3 linked regions of the Astyanax mexicanus genome follow. The protein of the gene in region 2 purifies or fractionates together with the protein of the main gene of each other region. This does not show direct contact. Links are inferred from orthologs where the notes say so. Each region holds a gene or a part of one and is shown on either strand. Other genes may lie near its edges.

The links.
Region 1: the proteins of dhx15 (region 2) and sf3b3 purify together in Homo sapiens (co-immunoprecipitation; 4 studies listed by BioGRID and IntAct, with this or other methods). This does not show direct contact. The link is inferred for Astyanax mexicanus from reciprocal best matches to the Homo sapiens genes DHX15 and SF3B3.
Region 3: the proteins of dhx15 (region 2) and fus purify together in Homo sapiens (affinity purification with mass spectrometry; 4 studies listed by BioGRID and IntAct, with this or other methods). This does not show direct contact. The link is inferred for Astyanax mexicanus from reciprocal best matches to the Homo sapiens genes DHX15 and FUS.

The regions. Positions count from the first base shown.
Region 1 is NC_064416.1:23,363,935-23,367,686, reverse strand, and holds the start of sf3b3 (splicing factor 3B subunit 3), read left to right. Parts: upstream 1-1,520; 5' UTR 1,521-1,644; intron 1,645-2,217; 5' UTR 2,218-2,270; coding exon 2,271-2,340; intron 2,341-3,141; coding exon 3,142-3,297; intron 3,298-3,494; coding exon 3,495-3,665; intron 3,666-3,752. UniProt on the Homo sapiens protein: Component of the 17S U2 SnRNP complex of the spliceosome, a large ribonucleoprotein complex that removes introns from transcribed pre-mRNAs.
Region 2 is NC_064415.1:27,958,122-27,961,873, forward strand, and holds the start of dhx15 (pre-mRNA-splicing factor ATP-dependent RNA helicase DHX15), read right to left. Parts: upstream 2,436-3,752; 5' UTR 2,315-2,435; coding exon 2,247-2,314; intron 1-2,246.
Region 3 is NC_064426.1:19,753,756-19,757,507, forward strand, and holds the start of fus (RNA-binding protein FUS), read right to left. Parts: upstream 2,159-3,752; 5' UTR 1,995-2,158; coding exon 1,982-1,994; intron 1,562-1,981; coding exon 1,534-1,561; intron 1-1,533. UniProt on the Homo sapiens protein: DNA/RNA-binding protein that plays a role in various cellular processes such as transcription regulation, RNA splicing, RNA transport, DNA repair and damage response. Binds to ssRNA containing the consensus sequence 5'-AGGUAA-3'.

The sequences.
Region 1 (3,752 bases), on a different chromosome or scaffold from region 2:
ATTCTCAGTTGGAGAGCTAGATGGATCAAGTTTAAGTAACGGCATGCAGTGGTTCATATTCTCATTTAGCATTAAAGTTACAAGTGAAATTTTAATTAAAAAAAACTAGTCAATTTTATTATGAGTTACAGCATAAGTATAATATAAATCCATTATTTAAACCATGCATATACTAGCACTTATTTTGGTGTGTTAAGTGTTCACACATTCAAAAGTCTGCCATGCTCACAGCCAGCCTAAAAAAGTAAAAAAAAAAAATCTATTTATTCTATTATTCTATAAGGTATAAGTAAAACTGTGTAATTTAACAAAATGAACAGCATCAAATTAGATGTTGGGACAGTATGGAAAATGCCATGTTCTCTCATTTACTTTTTATTTTAGCATGACAATATGACAAGCAGTATGAACCCAATATATTTAATGTTTTATCTGGTCACCTTTATTTCATTTCTATATACATCCATTCCTGCATTTCATGCCTAGGAAGAAGAAACCTTATTTAATAATGTGATTTAAAACAGGTGATGTGAACAGATCATATGTGTAAAAATAATTGAAATGTTTGAAAATTATTTTTAATAAAGCCTAAGCTGAAGGCTAATTCACAAATGCCCCATATAATTATACTGTGCTACACAGAAAACTTATGTTATTAGGCACATTTATTTAATCTTTCAAAAAATATGAGTAATTTCCATATTTTACAGGTAAAAAATGAAAGGGCTCAATGCACTCTGCATGGTCAGTAGTAACACTTATTTTTCTCACAGTACCACAGCTTGTTAACACATTTGCAGTGTTTAGATGATTTGACCCATGTTTGCACAGTAAACCACAGTAACAAACAACAAGTACAGGAATGAAACATGTAGTGAGCAATGTTAGCAATGGTATGAAGCAGGGTGTAATTAGTATACAAAGATAAACAGGACAAGCTATGGACTAAGAAAAAAGACTCAGCTTTTTGGTGAGAAATTGCTACTAGTACTCTCAGTGTTCAGTGATCTGTGGGAACTGCTGAAGGAGAGAGGTTTTAAAAAAGGGTTGTGTCAATGGGGAGAAGAAACTGAATTAATTTCCAAATTTGGACACACCTTCTCATTTAAAGTTTTTCTTTACTTCTTTATTTAATTTATTTTCTACATTGTAGAGTAACATTAAATCTATCAAACGAATTAAGGGACACATATGGAATTGCGTAGTAAACAAAAAAAAGTATAAAACATATTCTGGTTTGTTTCACATGTTTTGTTTACAACAAAATCCTGTATAGCGTATGTCTTAAATATTACATTTACAATGTAAAGAATAATTTAAAAACAAAAATATATATTTAAAGAGAAAAGGTGTGTCCAAGCCTTTGACTGATACTTTATATGTGGCTAATTGTTTTATTAATTAATTTATTATTTTTTAAGGATTTTTAAAGCATTTTTTGTCTTTTAAATAAATCTGAAATATGAATTTTGTAAGGCTTGTAGCGGGCTGGACTTTTCAGCAGGCAAATGGCAGGGCGACTATGACACAGGGCTAACAGCAGGAAGGACCCCCGTCGTTCGAGCGGCGTTTGAACACAAAACGCCGAACGAACAAAAAGTTTCTCATCGGGTGAAAATCTGCACCATCCTGCCTGCTGAAACGGTAAAACCCTGGCATACACCGCCAGCGCCAGTTAAACGGCGATATTATAGCCATATATGTGTCATGATGCGGTTTAATATCAAGTTATCTCAGAATTCTGCGTTAGCTTCACTTGCTAGCAGAGGCTGAGCGGGTAACCGGGGTTTCAGGCTGTTATTAACAGCGCGGAGTTTAATAATACTGCAGTATAAAGACACGTTAACCTAATATACGTGCAGTTTTTACGTGTTGTGGGTATTTTATGGGTAAAGTATATACATTTAGTTTAATAAACCAACATTCTGACTAGCGGCTAAGCGAGCTAACCCATTCATTTGAGGTGGTTTAGCTAGCTAATGCTAGCAAGCTTGTAGTTTACATAGATAACTAGCTAGCCAGCTGTGCCCCTAGTAACAGTAGGTTAGCTACTTTTAGTTTATTTTTTTTAAACCTGATCAATTAGGCACGTTAGGTAGATTACATCTGGAGAAAAACAAGACTTTATTAGCTTTCAAAATTTCTCTGTTTGCAGCCCAGAACGTGTGCACTGCTTTCTTCTGTTGATCTCACATGAGGCCTCTTTCTGGGTTTCAGGTGCAGCAGTAACTTTCTTCATCCAAGCCTGAGGGGGCCCAGAGACATCCACCATGTTTCTGTACAACCTGACATTACAACGTGCCACTGGCATCACTCATGCCATCCATGGGAACTTTTCAGGTATACGGTCTTCGTTTTTCCATGTTAAATATGTGATTTGTAATGTTTAACTCTAGAGGTGTAGCCCTGCCCCCACAGGCTTGCATTGTGGGCACTAGACCTGATGGGTGTCTCTCTCTTACCTTAATGTGCACCTCACTCTGGAAAAGGGGGAAATCTGGATTCATCAGACCACATGGCCTTTTTCTGTTGCTCCAGAGTCTTTGCCAGTTAACCTCACTGATGAGTGGTTACACAGTTTAATCCTAATCCCTTGAGTTTCCTTCACATTGTGCATGTAGAAATGCTCTTACTTTCACTAATAAACATATCCCTGAGTTCTAGTAAATATTTAATGGGAGGCACTTACCATTTGCTTATTAAAAAAAAGACTGTACTGGTATGTTAAGATGTTGATCTTATTAATTGAGAGAGTTTGAGACCCCCATTTCTGTCTTTTTTTTTTTTTTTGTTTTTATTGATTTTTAGGTTTTTAAAACTTCTTTTAAAGCAAACATTTTTTTTTTAAATGTACCAAGAATTTGAAAAATGGGAAGTTTCTATATAATTACATTTAGCAATGGTAAAAAAAAAAAAAACTAAGGAACTTTTTCAAACTACTAGGGGTACATATTTTATAATTGGAAATAAATGCCCTTTATCAAATAAATAACCTTTAAATCCTTAATTTAATGTAACTGTTCACCTGTAGTTTAGTTTAATAGTTTCTCCAGAAGGGGGTGGAAGTAGCACTGTTAGCTTAAGCAAATCCACATCAAACACTTTGCTTGCAATTAACTGTATGACGTTCTTTGTCTCTAGGTACGAAACTGCAAGAGATTGTGGTTTCCCGGGGAAAGATTCTAGAGCTGCTGCGTCCTGATGCCAACACAGGCAAGGTTCACACATTGCTCACCATGGAGGTGTTTGGCATCGTCCGCTCCCTCATGGCCTTCAGGCTCACTGGTGGCACGAAAGGTTAGTGTGAATGTTGAAACTGAGTTAGTTTGTTTACAGTTCAATATAATTTTGGGTAAACCAGCCGTAAGATCTTGTTAAAGTTGCTTGCGAAACTAAATGTAAAATTACTGATCAGGTAAATTGCTGATGTGTGGTTTATTCAATGTAATAAAAAAAAATGGTTTGTTTATTGGACTGTGTCTCTTAATTTTAAGACTACATCGTGGTGGGAAGTGACTCGGGACGTATTGTTATCCTGGAGTACCATCCTTCAAAGAACATGTTTGAAAAGGTGCACCAGGAGACTTTTGGCAAGAGCGGATGTAGACGCATCGTTCCCGGGCAATTCCTGGCTGTGGACCCTAAAGGCAGAGCTGTAATGATAGGTAAAATTCTGGTTCTTTGCTAAGTGTTTTATATTTAAGGTGGTTGTTTTATCTGTCTTGGGTTTGAAGAAGCCCTGTGGCATTGTT
Region 2 (3,752 bases):
TTTCACCAGAAGTCACCAGCATTGGTTTGGTGTCTGTATATTTCCAACTGATACTTGCTGATGTAGGCTATATATTGAATACCAGAAAAAGACTAAGCACTGACTGTGCAACAACTTTAAAATAATTTATTTCAACATTATATTTTTATTTTATATAATCTACTGTTTTATTTATTCTGTCAATTGTTAATGTTAAAAGAAGGTTTTAAGCTGTGACCAGTCTAAGGACCAGTAAGCTAAATAGATGTAAACCAAAATATTAAAAAGTGACACCTTTCATTTTATTGTTTGCGTACTGTCGATTTTAACATTTATTTTTAAAGTCTCTCGGCAAGTCAGAAATATGTAACTATATCGGCATTGGCCCAGATATCCCACATTAGTGCATCATTTTAAAGTGTCCTCACTTATTGACTAGTGGAAAAGAGGCCTTTGTTTCTTTGAAACAAAAAAAAGCCCTGAAATTGTTATGTTTACTCATGTAGAGAAAACAGGCAGCTTCTACAAGTGTCCTGTAGGAGATTTTAAAGCCTTCAGAAATGTAAATAAGTTATTTTGCTGTAGAAAAAGGGTTTTTTGTATGATCTACACCTGTAGCATTTATACGGAACAAGGGTTATTTACGTAAAAGGTTAAGTAAATATACCCCTTCAACGTCCTTATTCATTTATTTATTGGTAATACTGCTTAGCATTGCTTTTTCTAAGGGCATGTGTGCATCTAATGTCTGTCTTGTTGTGTATTTAAACTGTGTATAAAATAATAAATATAGCTACTTAAATGTCTTATTTCTTAAAAGGTAAAACAAACAGTCAACAAAGTTACCTGACATCAAGCAACACGCCCACTACACTCCACACATGGCTAACTAGAAAGCTAACCTTAGCGCTTCGTTTTAGATCAATTAAGCCTGTCATTTGTTGTCTAACCCCTTCAGCTTTGCAGCAGCAGCACTTCACTACTGCTAAAACAAAACATGTTAAACAATATAACGAGATAATTCAATCAACTGCGTGCGAAACGTAGTTAGTCAGGTTAGCTAACCTAGCTTTAGCTCAATTTTAGACAGAGCGGGCGGCAAACATGAATTGGTAAGCTATGTGATGCTAACGTTAGCTTAGCTTCTGGTGCTAACGCTTCCAGCTTTGTGTTGGGCAGGCATGTGTGCCTGGAGACACGCAGGTCGAACGAACTGCCTAACTGGCTAACTAATCATGCGTGCAGGTTAATCAGTAAACCGCACAGCAGGGTTGCACACAGCTAGCTGTGATGTTAACGCTATTCAAAAAAACTGGGACAGGGGATTATCCAGCTAGCTAAGTTAGCTTAGCTACACAGGCCGCATGGAAAATGGACGAGTAAGCAACGTCCATGCTAGCTTAGCTTAGCTAGTGAGAAGACCGGTGTTCCGTCGAGTAAGGCTACCCATCGATACCTGCTTCCTAAAGGCACTACGCATGCGCTGATCTACAGTTATTCATTTTTTTATATATAAAATATGCATTTAAAAAAAAAAAAAACTTTTTGTGCATTATACAACCGGGATTCACTGTCACCGTGAAAATGAATAATGATAAATACATAAAAAAAGTTGATTAATAGTTTGTAATGACCTCTCACTGCCATAACTTTCAATAATACAGTGATTTATACTCTTAAAAATTCTACATAGACTTTCACTGGGACCATCTTCTAATATGGTGCTTCTTTTGCATTTTTAAAGTTAACTTACACTAGGGTAGCACGGTTTGACAAGGTAGCATAACTCGACAGAACACCGGCTAGCTGGTTATGCGTCTATATAGCTATTTAACATGAATATAAACCGAAGCATGAGTTAGTACATTCACTATAAACATGTACAAACGAGAAAATCAGACTTCTCGTATGAATGTTATGTAAAATACTCTCTAAACTGGTTTAAATGAACTGAACAGATAGGTTCACTAAGCTATTAGCATTGCCCACGTGCTAACGTTATCCTAGCGTTGCGGATGCGACACGAAACCAGCCGGCTGCTCTCTTGGTTTACCTTGCAGCTTTACCTCACATCTAACACCGGGTTTACACAGACAGAAAGAGCTCAAATAAAGGGGCTAATACACTCTAACGTCCTAATAACACCCTGTCTTGCCACTGCGTCTATAACCCGCCTGTCCTGCCGACACAAAGAGGCCGAGCGGCGGCCGCTCAAACATGAAGCAGCAGCAGAAGCAGTTTTTCATCCACACGCCGTTTAAACCCACCCGTCTGAAGACCTCTTCTTACTGGACGAGTAATCATCGCCCAGGTCCAAGCGATGCCGTTTAGACATCTCAGAAACACGGGATACAAAACGAGTTAAGAACTAAAAAATAAAAAAGGAAAGCGGTCCGCGGATTAATATCTCAAACAAACCACCAACACACACACACACACACCGCTAAGCGACAAGATGGCGACCGGAAGCACTTACCTCATCATTATTATTATTTCTGAGACTCAGAGAGGGAACGGGTTTCAGCCTCTAGAGCGAAGAGTAAAACAGACCCCGCTCTTATAGTAAAAACACCGCATGTGTTCCCCGCGGCGGCGGCGCTTCTCAGCGCGGTTAAGGCGCTCGCGCTGCGGATGCTGTACAGCGGTGCTCCGGGGAGGATGATCTATGTAGCGCCAAATTACCGTTTTCCCTCTGCAGCAGCTTCCAGCAGCCTGCAGTACCGACACCCGCCGAGCAGCGCCGAGCCCTGCTCCCCACAGACAGAGCCTGGAGTGTAGAAACGCGGGAAAATATTATATACAGATTATATTTTAACCGTCCGACCAGTTTATCGGCCTGTTCACTCAGTTTAATACATCAATGCCTCAAAGTAACATTTCTTTCACTCGGTTCTTTAGTCTGTTTCCTCTATTTATCAATATGTTCCCTCTATTTATCAGTATTCCCTCAGTTATAATACATTTATCTCAATGTAAACATTTTTCCTCCAGTTTATCAGCATGTTCCCTCAGTTTTAAATAAATGTATCTAAATTTATCTCAGTGTTTGCTCAAGTTTATCAGTGTGGTCCATCAGTTTAAAGGACCAATATGTAACTCATTTTCAGTAGTAAATGATAAAATGATCAGGATGTATAATCAGATATTAAGGAAACATGTTGAGTTAAAGCACTGGCAGCTCTTGTCAGCAGGGCTTTGGCCCGTACGTTCCTATTTTTAGTGTTTACTCCATCCTGAGTTTTGTGTTAGTTTTGTCCTCTGTCTCCTCCTGCTGCTCGTTCCCCAACACTAACTCCACTAGGACCCATACTACACTACAGCGATCGGTGCTGCAGCAAAGGAGCTAGCTAGCAGAGTGGGCTCAGTTAACCTCAGCTGCTACACAGCTTAAAAAACAAAGAAGGAATATAACAAAAGTGAATATTGACAGTGAGTTTAAAAGGTGGAGACTTAGAGCTCAAAAAGACACAAGACCGACCCAGAGCTACTACTTTTCTCCTGAATAGGTAAGCTAACTGGCTAGCTCATAGACTGTATATAAAGATGGACGCCGTGTCGCCGTTCCCATTCATTCAATGAAAATGAAGCCAAAATCTTCCGCCATTTTGGCGATTCAGAGACCAGAGTCTGCGCAGTAGAGACCAGAGTAGGGAGAAAGGCTGTGGAGAGCTCCTACTCATTTAAATAAACCCGCCCCTGAGGGCTGCCTCGCTGTCACAGACTGCAGAGCGGGGCGGAGTGGAGCTGACGGTCTGTTATTGGTCCCGCCCATA
Region 3 (3,752 bases), on a different chromosome or scaffold from region 2:
TCCGCTTTTAGACTCTTTGGCCCCGTTTTTCTACGCTAGAAATGCGCACCCTCTCCGCTTTAAGACTCTTTGGCCCGTTTTTCTGCGCTAGGAATGCGACCCTCTCCGCTTTTAGACTCTTTTACCCCGTTTTTCTGTTAGAAATGCGAACCCTCTCCGCTTTTAGACTCTTTGGCCCCGTTTTTCTACGCTAGAAATGCGCACCCTCTCCGCTTTTAGACTCTTTTGCCCCGTTTTTCTACGTTAGAAATGCGAACCCTCTCCGCTTTTAGACTCTTTGGCCCCGTTTTTCTACGCTAGAAATGCGCACCCTCTCCGCTTTTAGACTCTTTTGCCCCGTTTTTCTACGTTAGAAATGCGAACCCTCTCCGCTTTTAGACTCTTTGGCCCCGTTTTTCTACGCTCGAAATGCGCACCCTCTCCGCTTTTAGACTCTTTGCCCCGTTTTTCTGCGCGAGGAATGCGACCCTCTCCGCTTTTAGACTCTTTGGCCCGTTTTTCTGCGCGAGGAATGCGACCCTCTCCGCTTTTAGACTCTTTGGCCCGTTTTTCTGCGCGAGGAATGCGCACCCTCTCCGCTTTTAGACTCTTTTACCCCGTTTTTCTGCGCTAGGAATGCGACCCTCTCCGCTTTTAGACTCTTTGGCCCGTTTTTCTCGGGCCACAGTCCGTAATTAAACAAATAATGAAATATACCACTTTAAAAAATAATTTTTCCTGATTATTTCATTTACACACCATTTTACTTGCCTTACTATCTTTATCTTTGACAGTGTTGTGTAAACTAAGATTTTTCAAATTGATGTTTAATTTCATGATGTCTCTTGATATTAAACTCCTTAATTACGGCAACTTTTAGACTCTTTGGCCCCGTTTTTCTACGCTAGAAATGCGAACCCTCTCCGCTTTTAGACCCTTTTACCCTGTTTTTCTGCGCTAGAAATGCGCACCCTCTCCGCTTTTAGACTCTTTGGCCCCGTTTTTCTACGCTAGAAATGCGCACCCTCTCCGCTTTAAGACTCTTTGGCCCGTTTTTCTGCGCTAGGAATGCGACCCTCTCCGCTTTTAGACTCTTTTACCCCGTTTTTCTGCGCTAGAAATACGCACCCTCTCCGCTTTTAGACTCTTTGGCCCGTTTTTCTGCGCGAGGAATGTGCACCCTCTCCGCTTTTAGACTCTTTTACCCCGTTTTTCTGCGCTAGAAATACGCACCCTCTCCGCTTTTAAACTCTTTGGCCCGTTTCTGACACCTAGCGTTCAAACGTTGAATCTCACATTATAAAAACCTGTTTAACAGCGGGCCAGCTTTCATTCTATTACTAAAATACCTCGCGGGTCGCTCCAAAAAAGGAAAAGGGCCGCAAATTGCCCGCGGGCCGCAGTTTGGACAGCCCTGATGTAGAATGTGTTGCTGGTGGTTTTAAGGTGATGTTTAAGGGGGTCTTGGTCTCCTGAGCTGCTGCTGCTGTTTATTATAGAGGAGCTTTAACACCAGCAACTGAAAAACCCCGAGAAACACAGGGACACACTCACCCTCCATGGCCGGCAGTCTGGGGATAATCTGCAGGGATAAGTAAATGCTTTAATTAACAGACAAACACTGATAAATATCTGCACAAACACTCGCAGAAATATCTATAAAGGTAATAACACTAAAATATCGAAGGTTTTGAGCCCCAGGTCTGAAAGTAGGTCAGTATATCACTTTGAATAACAAAATGGCGGAGCCCGACATCTTCTTGTAGGGGGTGTTAGAGAATAAAAGCCTGTTAATAACAGAAACGCTGTTTTCATGCGCTTAAAACTAACGAGCAGTGACTCAAAAGGCCATGTGTATTGTCAGTACACCTGAGGGACTGCAGGCAGATTTTCTGGCTAGGTTAGTTAGCTTAGCTAACGCTACCTCCGTTATCAATGAGAAACGCAGCTTAAGGCTGGAAAACCCGAAACTGAACAGAAACACAGACAGACAGGGACTTACCGCTCGACGCCATGACCAGGTTCACACTTTAATAAAGTGTAAAACGCCTGACTGTGCTGTTATTTTTATATTCGGTGATAAAGCTAAATAAATACTGTGTAGTTCAGCTTAAATTACAGAAAATAGAGCTCCGCTCCTCTCAGTGTGCCCGGCTGAAGTGACACCGGCCTGTGCTGCTCACTGTCGGCCTGAGGGTGGCGCTGCGCACCTGGAAAAAATTAAGAGACCACTTCAGTTTCTGAATCAGTTTCTCTGATTTAGCTATTACAGGTATTTTTGTTTAAAATGAACAAAGTGGTTTTATTCTATAAACTACGGACAACATTTCTCTCAAAATCCAAATTAAAATATTGTCATTTAAAATATGATATCTATATGCAGAAAATGAGAAATGTCTAAAATAACAAAAAGATTCAGAGCTTTCAGACCTCAAATACTGCAAAGAAATCAAGTTCATATTCATAAAGTTTAAAGAATTCAGAAATCAATATTTGGTGGAATAACCCTGTTTTTTAAATCACAGTTTTCATGCGTCTTGTCATGTTCTCCTCCACCAGTCTTACACACTGTTTATGAATAACTTTATGCCATTCCTGGTGCATAAATTCAAGCAGTTCAGCTTGGTATGATGGCTTGTGATCATCCATCTTCCTCTTTATTATATTCCAGAGGCTTTTAATTTGGTGGTAATTAAGTGGTCTCTTTTTTCCCAAATCTGTATTTAACAGATTGTACCATACATGTAAAAACAAAACAAACAAAAAAAAACTTTTAGACACTTTTATTAGAATTTAATACTGCTTCGTGTATCTGGCGTGACCCTCTTGTTCACCAATAACCGCAACTCAACGTTTGCTTGCTTCAGGTCCTGCCACAATATTTCTACTAGATCAAAATAATTACTTTACCTATTAAGTTTATTTCTTGGGGGTCGCTTAGATCAGCAACTGGGGTCGCTCCTTGTCTTGCTGCATGACCCACATTCTCTTGACACTTACTCTTTGCAACCTAGCTATTCACACCATTGTTGTTTAATGTTCTCCTGATGGTGGACCCATTAACATTAACATTGTAAGAGAGCCAATGTGAGCCAATGTGTAAAAGGCCCTTAGTTGCTTAGAAGTTACCTTTGGTAAGCCTTTGTGTTCTCAAAGATCTTTGTCTGTACAAACTTCTTAGATACTATGAAACTTCTTCATAGTTTTGCAACCCCCTCAGAAATCTTGTTTATTAATGCTTGATACACTTACCTTCCATAAACATTTATTGTGAAGGTCAGACTTGTTCTATAAATAAAAGAGGATGCTCACTCACTCCTGATTGTCATCCCTATTATTGAAAACCCCAGACTCAAATTTTACCATGAAATTATCTACAAAACTTAAAAGGTTCACATTCTTTTTCCACTGACAAAGTAGTGTAGTATTTTTTCAGTAAATTCCTGTTCCTTTCAGAGCCTGGAAAACGTTACATAATGAAAGGATACGCTATGGATCTAATGAAAGATGCTAAATATAAAAATACAAATTAGCTAAATCTAATGAGCTAATGAGGTACCTTTACAGAGATAAAAGCTGCAAATAAATAACCAAAAAAATCAGGCAACACTTAAGAATGTAATGTATTTGATTCCTTCATCAGATGTATTCATTCATCAAATGTACATTATCCTGCTTCAGGACACAGGTCCTTCATAAACACTGCACAGCTTAAAAACCTAATTCAACATTGTATAGACTTTTAAGAAGTTAAAAAAAAATTAAAAGCATTG